Ovis aries: one gene and its partner. The protein of the gene in region 2 binds, or shares a complex with, the protein of the main gene of each other region. Links are inferred from orthologs where the notes say so. Each region holds a gene or a part of one and is shown on either strand. Other genes may lie near its edges. The genes, in order: PLXND1 and GIPC1.

Region 1 (3,799 bases), on a different chromosome or scaffold from region 2:
GGACCCCCTGAGGGACCCCCACCTGTTGGTCTTCCAGATGTGCAGTGTGTCGGGGTCTGAGATGCCCCTCTTCTCGGCTTGCTCTTCTAGGAAGTCAAAGAAGTACTTGACGGCCAGTGGGGGCTTGTCTTCCCGGATGCTCAGGATGGCCTTGAACAGGTCATCCAGAAACTTCTGCAGCGTGCCCTGCAGGGGAGTGAGTGGCGGCCATCAGCCCAGGAACACATGGGGGCGGGAGGGGGTTGGTGACAGGCACCTCTGGCGGCTGTGGGGAGCCCGTGGTGCTGGGGCTGAGCAGTGCTGGGTGAACGGGAAGCTGTGTGGCCCCAGGCTGGCCTCCTAAGTGCTCTGGGCCTCAGTTTTCCTGTCTGTGAAATGGGTTGGTGAAACCCACGGCACAGGAGTGTCGGAAGGACTTGGACACAGAGCAGGGAATTGGTGGGCTGGGGTGTGGGCTCTCTGCCTCTAGCCATGTGGCCTTGGGAATGTTTCTGGGCCACTACTGCCTTCTCTGTCACTCCAGCGAACAGAGAAGTTGTTGCCGGGCACCCTTCAAGCTGGGGGTGCGGCTGGCCCTGCAGGGGAAGAGCTGTCCCCCGCTCCCCCAGCGTGTGGTCCCAGTTGACCCCCGGGAGTGAGGACATGCGGGGGGCGGGCCCACCTTGGTGGAGAGCAGGCGGGTCAGGTAGATCTCCGGGAGCACCTTCTTGCGGTGGCTCTGCCGGTGGGACTTCTTGGGCTCTGCTAGCTCGTCTGTGGGCAGCACCTGGGAGGCCCGGGCTGGGTCAGTGCTGGCGCCGGGCACCACCCTTAGCTGCCCCTGGGAGGCCCTACCCGGCCCCCGCGGGTGCCTGGCTCTGCACACTCCCCAGCCCAGCCTTCCCCAGGCCTGGGAGCACGGCCTTCAGAGGCCCAGGGTGGCAGGAGGCCAAGTCCACTCCCAGTGAGGGGCGGGCACCCCCAGGGCCAGAGGCAGGGCACTCACCAAGTGGAAATACTTCTCCGTGTCCAAGTCTTTCACTGCGAGACGGAAACACACACGATAAATAAACAAGAGCCAGGAGCAGGGGGAGAGAGAGCGAGCAAACGAGAAATGGAGGCAAAAAGCTGGAGAAAGAAACCCAGTGAGATGGGCACAGCCAAATAGATGTGTGGAGAGGAGACGAGAAATGCACAGAAAGACAATGGAGAGTGAGAGCTAGAGACACGCATAGAAGGAGGCCCAGACAGAAAGACAGAGGCGTTGAGAGAGACAGAAAGGCGTCCACAGGGGACAGGAGAAGCAGGGAGATGATCACAGATGGACACGGGGCAGCTCCCCACGAGGGCCCACTGCCCCGAGCCCAGACCTCACCAGCTGCTGGAAGGGACCCCAAGGCCTCCAGGAGCCTAGGACCCCCAAGCTTGGGGCATCTGAAGGTAGGGATGCGGGGGTGAGGCAGGGACACAGCCCAAACCCCTGATGGCCTGGCGCCTGCCCAGACCTCTTACAACCGCCTCCCTGCTCCTGGGGCCCCTCTCGGCTGCCTGCAGGAACCCAGCGTCGAGGAGGCCTGGCCACAGGCCCCACCCAAGCAGCACTGCGGCAGGGCGCCGCACCCGGCCCAGCCCGGCCCTGCCCCTGGAAGCCTCAGTTACCCACCCCCTGCCGGGGCTACTCAGGAGGGCCCGGCCCCCTGTCCGCCCGCACTACCTCGGCCCAGGGTGTTGTCCTTCTTGTCTGTGAGGCTCATGGCCAGGGAGGCGCCTTCGGGGATCTGATAGGGAGAGAGGCCGCGGTCAGAAGGCAGAGGTCAGGGAGGGTGGCGCGGCGGGGCGGGCAGGGCCGGGGCCCACCTTGTAGTGGGCCAGCGTGTTGAGCTTCTTGCGGCCGTCCTCCACCACCGAGGTGTCATCCAAGTCCCGCAGGATGTAGCTCTGGGTGCTCGAGGCGAACCACTCTAGGGGTGGGGGACCGGGGGTGAGGGCCGGGGTGTCCCCCACGGGGAGAGAAGCAGGGGTCCCCCCAGAGCTCTCTGAACCTCTACTCCTGCATCTGGAAGGCCGGGCGGGGGGGGCCGGGCGGGGGCACGGAGCCGCGGCTCCACACAGCCATCCGCGGGGCGGTCACTGGGTGGCCGGGCCTTCATCACCTGCGGCGAACTCCCCACGGGGCCCCAACATCAGCTCCTGGCTGATGGGCACCGTCTCCACATCCCTAGAGCCCCAGACAGCACACACGTGACTGAGCGGGGCCCGTCGGCCGCCCTCCCACCCAGCCCACCTAGGTCCACGTCCTCAGCACGCGGCCACTGGGAGTAGGGCACGTTCTTGCAGAAGGCTTCCAGAATCTTCTCCTTCACCTGCGTCAGCGTGTCCGTGTCCATGGCGCGCACGCTCAGCGAGTCCATGCCGCAGCCTTGAAAGGACACGTTCAGGTTCTGCAGGAGAGAGACAGGGGGCTCAGCAGCTGCCCACCGACCAGACGGGCAGACAGCCTGCGGGTGGGGGTGTCAGGAGCGAAGCTGGGAGCCCCTCCACCCCCCGAGCCGGCTCACCCGGGGCTTGGCCTCGATGTTTTCCCGCAGCAGCCACTCCTCGTTGAGCGTGTAGCGGGCTTTGCCCGTGATGGCATCGATGGAGCCCTTGTTGATTTGCTGCTTGATGGCGCACAGAAGCAGGAAGAAGGGCTCCCCCACCGTCTCCTGGGGGCGGGGGGCGGTCAGAGGCTGAAGCCAGCTGCCCACTCTCCAGACTCGAGCCCCGAGCCTGTGGCCCCCACCTGGACCGCTGCATACCCGCTTCCACCAACCCCCCCGCAGCTGCCTGCTTCACACCTTTTGATCTTGGTGCCGCTCAGCCCTCCCATCCCCACACCCAGGGCGTCTCCCTGGACTCCCAGCTCAGACATCGCCCAACCTGGGCGGCCGCATTCATTTTATCGCGCTGGCAACCTTTCCAGGTAGCGGTAGCATCCTCACGGGCGAGGCTCAGAGAGGGCAAGCAAGCTGCTCAAGGTCACCCAGCAGGGAGGCGGCAGAGCTGGACTCAAAGGCATGCCAGGGAGGGCTCGGGGGCTGAGAGAGTGTCTTCCTGACACGGCCTCTGTTCCCAGGGTAGCTCTGAACCTTGATTCCCCCACCCGTATAATGGACCCTGTGGGCCAGCCCCTTTCCCACATGTGTGCAGAGACCACAGTCACTGGTCCTGGCAGAGATGGCAGGAAGATGAAGTGAGATCTCCGGGGCAGGGGCACGGCTGCCTGGTGCCCTCACCCGCAGGCAGCTGTACATGCAGATGGACATCCAGTTGGTGAGCATCTTCTCAACCACGGACTCCGTGCGCCGCAGCATCAGCTTGGGGTTCTTGGCAGCTGAGGCGTCGATGAGGTCCACCAGCAGCTCCTTCATGATGCCTGTGTAGTACTCGAGCTTGCCGTGGAGCGCGATGGTCAGCAGGGAGGCCAGGCTGCACCTGTGGGCAGGCGTGGGAGTGGGGGGTCAGCCACACTGTGAGGCCCTGGGACCCAAGGACCATACTGCGGGGGCTCCAGTGCCCCCCTTGTCACTGGATGAGGCAGGTGCAGCAGAAATCTCCCTGGAGAAAAGCCTACCCTCCCTGCTGCTTAACCACCATGCCCACGAGCCCCGTCCTGGGCAGGCAGGACCAGGAAGGGGCAGAATGGGGAGACGGGCCAAGGCCTCAGGGCCTGACTCTGGGGAGATGCCAGCTGCCCCAAGGACACGGTGCCCTGCAAACTGCCCCAGCCTTGGATCCAGCCCGGCAGACCCAGGATGCGTTGTCCTTCCCCAGAGCCTGC
Region 2 (4,299 bases):
CTGGCCTGGGAAGGGTGCATTTGTGTCTTTGTTTCTTGTACCTGCTTCTGCCTAAGAAATCTCAGTTACAAGCCAGACCTGGAGATGGTGAGATTACCTAGTTCTTTCATCCACATATGTATACTGAAACCCTGCTCTGTGCCATTCTCAGGACTGGAGGGTGGGGGACAGAGAGGGAACAGAGATGGAGACAGACTCGTGAATGTCAGCTCCCTCAGGGCTGAGACTTGGGTTGGCTGGGTATCCTTTGTAATCTAGCACATAATATGTGCTCAATAAATATCCACTGGTCAACCAGCAAGCGAACAGACCGTTTTGCCCTTGTCTTTCGTACCACTGCAACCTAAAGATGCTTTGCTAGCTGCTTTGCAAACTCCTTCGCTATTGCACTCTCCTAAAGTGTGCTGTATCTCTCTGTCCGCCCTCCAAGCCTTTGCATGCCCCGTTCCCTTTACCAAGAGCATATTCATTCAGCTTACTCGTAGACGTATCTGTTGAGATAGGACAGAGCCTGGCACGGAGCAGGAGCGCCTTAAATATTTGATGAGTAAATGAATGAATGAATGCCCTTGTCCATTGTCCATCCAGGACGCTGGACACGCGGGACCCTCCCTATTCATCTCAGTCCCCCGCCCTCCCGCCCAGAATGAATACATCTTTTTATCCGCTCTGAGGGTGGCCGAGCTGAGACATGGGCAGGCCAAGTGGAGGACTGGATTAGGGACCGCCCTTGGCCCCCTCCGGGTATCCTAAAGGGTTCCCTTTTCTGGACTTTGGAAGTTTGTATCCTTTCCCCCTCCCCACCCCCAAACTCAGTATCGGTCACCTGACTTCCACGACTAGTCCCCCGCCTCTTAGCACCCACAGCACCCCACACGGACACTTAGCCAAGAACACGTGGTCCGGGGGCCCCAGCTTCCCATTGGCCGCTGGCCTCCTTCCTCCCAGAGATTGGCTCGGGCTCGGCCTCAGCTCCCCCTTCCGCCGCCTCGCGGTGGAACAGGCCGCCGCGGCTTAGGAGGGGTGGGAAGGTCCAACGCTCCGCGGCGGGGGAGGTGTCGTGAAGAATCGCGTGCAGCGCAGGGATCCCTCTGGAATGTTTCCTTCGGGTTCCACCCGCAGGGGGGCGGCGTGGAGTGGATTGGCCGCGAGCGCCGGGCGGCCGTTTCTGATTGGCCAGATGCGGGCGCCAGCCCCGCCCCCTGGCGGTGGCTGCGGGAGAGGCCCGGGCCAGAGTTTGCGGAGGGCCGAGCTGGGCGAGCTGGGCGGCGGCTAAGGAGGCTCAGGTGAGTATACCCGGCAAGGCAGGGGCGAGGGGGTGGTCCATCGCGGCCGCTCGAGGGGACCCCGGAGCAGACCCGCGAGATCGCGAACCCGCGGAGATTCGGCCTATCCTGCGGGGTGGGGCCGGCCCCATGGACGCGGCTGGAGGTCTAGGCTGAGTGGGGTGGAGGGGCGGGACGGGGTGGGGGGAAACGTCCGAGTCCCCTTCCCGGAGGACCGCCTGCCTTCCCTCTAAGGTCAGGGGTGAACGCCTCCCGGCGCCGGGATGTCGTCTCCAGCCGCACCCCAGCCCCCTGCACCTCTGGAGAGTTCCCCTCCCGGTGGGGACAGGCGCAGAGTCGGTATTTCTGACAAGTCCCCGAAGCTGGCCTTGTCCCCGAAGCTGGCCTTGTCCCACTCGTCCAGGGCCTGGCGAGGGGGTGGGGTGCGCCTTGGGAGGATCGAGGTCCCGATTGTAATAATGAAAACAATCACCCGGGCTAGCATTCATTGAACACTTCCGTGTCAGGTATTTACCATGCGGATCATTGAATCACCCCTCATGGAAGTTGCTGTTACTTCTTTCAGAGGTGAAGCAGCAGACCCAGAGAGGTGGAGTGTCTTGCCTAAGGTCACACAGCGAGTAAGTGGCAGATCTGGGACTCAAACCCATGCTTCAGAGTCCAGAACTGGAATCTCCGCCACTAGACTAGGTATCCAGTGGCTTCAGGGCTCAGGTGTTTCTGACCAGCTCCTCCCACTCCATTCCCTCCAACCAGGCAGCCATCTGGGGCACACCTGCTGGTCTTCGTTTTCACCAGCTGCTCAGACAGGAAGCTGCCCCCATGTCCCTTTTCCCCAAAGCTGGAAAAGCAAGGCCAGACTACTGGGTCCTAAGAAGAGAGAGACATCTGTGGGAGAAATAGGTGGGTGGTGGGGACCATTGGGGTCCTGTGGCTGCTGGGCCCCTAGGGAGGCCTGGGCCGCGGACAGTAGGCATTCTCCCTGGAAACACCCATGAGCCGGTTTTTCAAGACTGATTCAGAGGCCTCCTGCCCTCCTCTTCCAAGCAATGCACTGCCAAAAAGGGGAGCATGGGCGTGGTGTCCCCTTCCCAGCTTGTGTGAGCTCTCAGGAACCCCCTTCCCATTTCCTGCTCCTCCCATTGCAACGCTGTGTGGCTGTAGGCTTGTTAAGTTCCGGGCCCTCCCAGTGAAGAGAGGGTAGGGATGTGGGATTCCAGCCAACCTGCTCAGTGCCACTAGCTGAATTGAAGCTCATTTTCTCCATACCTGTGTTCAAGTTTAAGAGGAGACTGGGAGTGTGGTGGGGAGGTGGCAGTTTGAAACGGTACAGTAGGCATGTTCTGAGGCTAGAGGGGCTCAGAGAGTAGTCAGAATGAGGGCGTAAGACACATTATTCATTCGTTCTGTACATATTAATTAAGTACCTGCTATGTGCCAGGTGGGCTTCCCTGGTGGCTCAGTGGTAAAGCATCCTCCCACCAGTGCAGGAGACACAGGTTTGATCCCTGGGTCGAGAAGATCCCCTGGAGGAGGAAATGGCAACCCACTCCAGTATTCTTGCCTGGAAATCCCATGGACAGAGGAGCCTGGTGGCCATCGCAAGAGTTGGACACAACTTAGCAACTAAACCACCACCACCACCACAGGCCAGGTACTGTTCCTGGCATAGAGGATACAGTAGTGACCACAACAGAAATCCCTGCTCTTGGGCAGCTACCATTCTAATGGGGGGGGGGGGGGAACAGGCAACAAACAAGTTGTTAATAACAAGTAAATAAAGAAAACACTTGCAAGAGGTTGATAAATGCTATAAATAAAATATGAGGGAGTGGCATGGTAGAATCTGTAAGAAAGGGGGATCTCGGAGGAGGTAACTTTGGAGCCAAGATCTGAATGACAAAAAGAAGCCAGCTTTGTAAGGATCAGGTAGGGGGCACAGCCAAGGCAAAGGCTCTGAGGCTGGGCCAAGCTTGGCATGGTATGGCTGGGGCAGGAGAGAACCCACAGTGTGATTCTGTGGGGATCTGTGGGTCACATTAAGGAGTTTAGAGCTTTTCTTCTATCACGTGGGAAACTGATGTAAGATTTGAGGCTGGGGAGCAACACGATCTGGTTTATGTTTTAAAATAGAGACATGAAGTGAAATAACAGCCTAAGACTGGAAGACAAGGGTTCTGCCAGAACAGCATGTAATTAAGTCCGTGGGCCTGAGTTGTCTAGACCACAGGGGTGGTTGTAACAGGCAGGGACAAGCCGAGGAGGCTGCTTGGAGGAGGTGGCCAGGAGTAGGCCTTGACAGGCAGAGGGGACTCCCTGGGCAGGGCAAGGGAAGAGGCAGTAATAACAGTGAGAGTAATAATTTTCTTAAATCAAATGTCAGGCAAAGTGCTAATTGAGTTACTTGCATAAACTCTTTGGATTCCCATAAGCACTCTGAGAGACAGTAATTCTGCCCATTTTTCAGATGAGGAAACTAAAGCGCCATCAAGTGAAGTGACTTGCCCACAGCCACTCAGCTGGTAAGTGACAGGGGTGGGATTTGAACCCAGGCCACTCTGCCTCTTCTGGCCTGGAAAACAAATTCATAAACCACCCACTTTCCTTACCACCATTATTTCCCTGTCCTGGGTAAGACATGCAGCCAGCCTGAACCAGGGCATCAAGTGTAGGCAGACTAAGGAAGTTGGGAGTTGGTGAGCAGGATGTAGGGGCCCTAGAAAAAGGAGGGAGTGTGAATCTTGGCAGCTGACTAAAGATGATACAGATAGAAATAGTAGTAATTGTCACCAGCATTTATGGAACTCTTACTGGAGAAGGAAAGGCAACCCACTCCAGTACTCGTGCCTGGAGAATCCCATGGACAGAGGAGCCTGGCGGGCTACAGTCCACGGGGTCACAAAGAGTCGGACACAACTGAGTGACTTCACTTTCACTTTACTGGGTGCCAGGAACTGTTCCAAACACATGTATGATTTCTTTGGAACTCAGAAAGGTTAAGACATTTGCCCAA

The links.
Region 1: the proteins of GIPC1 (region 2) and PLXND1 are in contact, whole or in part, in a crystal structure (PDB 5V6T), measured with the Mus musculus proteins. The link is inferred for Ovis aries from reciprocal best matches to the Homo sapiens genes GIPC1 and PLXND1. Residues at the interface, in NP_061241.1 of Mus musculus: His61, Glu141, Ala142, Leu143, Gly144, Leu145, Thr146, Ile147, Thr148, Asp149, Asn150, Gly151, Phe156, Lys158, Arg159, Arg190, His191, Tyr192, Glu193, Ala195, Arg196, Leu198, Lys199; in NP_080652.2 of Mus musculus: Glu1400, Met1889, Glu1893, Arg1899, Gln1902, Gln1904, His1905, Glu1908, Ile1918, Tyr1919, Cys1921, Tyr1922, Ser1923, Glu1924, Ala1925.

What each region holds. Positions count from the first base shown.
Region 1 is NC_056072.1:56,125,576-56,129,374, reverse strand, and holds part of PLXND1 (plexin-D1), read right to left. Parts: exon of another isoform or gene 3,793-3,799; intron 3,454-3,792; coding exon 3,255-3,453; intron 2,685-3,254; coding exon 2,538-2,684; intron 2,421-2,537; coding exon 2,264-2,420; intron 1,941-2,263; coding exon 1,837-1,940; intron 1,758-1,836; coding exon 1,694-1,757; intron 1,420-1,693; exon of another isoform or gene 1,038-1,419; intron 1,021-1,037; coding exon 986-1,020; intron 767-985; coding exon 662-766; intron 187-661; coding exon 23-186; intron 1-22. UniProt on the Homo sapiens protein: Cell surface receptor for SEMA4A and for class 3 semaphorins, such as SEMA3A, SEMA3C and SEMA3E. Plays an important role in cell-cell signaling, and in regulating the migration of a wide spectrum of cell types.
Region 2 is NC_056058.1:9,604,263-9,608,561, forward strand, and holds the start of GIPC1 (PDZ domain-containing protein GIPC1), read left to right. Parts: upstream 1-1,216; 5' UTR 1,217-1,286; intron 1,287-1,792; 5' UTR 1,793-1,801; coding exon 1,802-1,906; exon of another isoform or gene 1,907-1,976; intron 1,977-2,042; exon of another isoform or gene 2,043-2,189; intron 2,190-2,727; exon of another isoform or gene 2,728-2,940; intron 2,941-3,753; exon of another isoform or gene 3,754-3,808; intron 3,809-4,299. UniProt on the Homo sapiens protein: May be involved in G protein-linked signaling.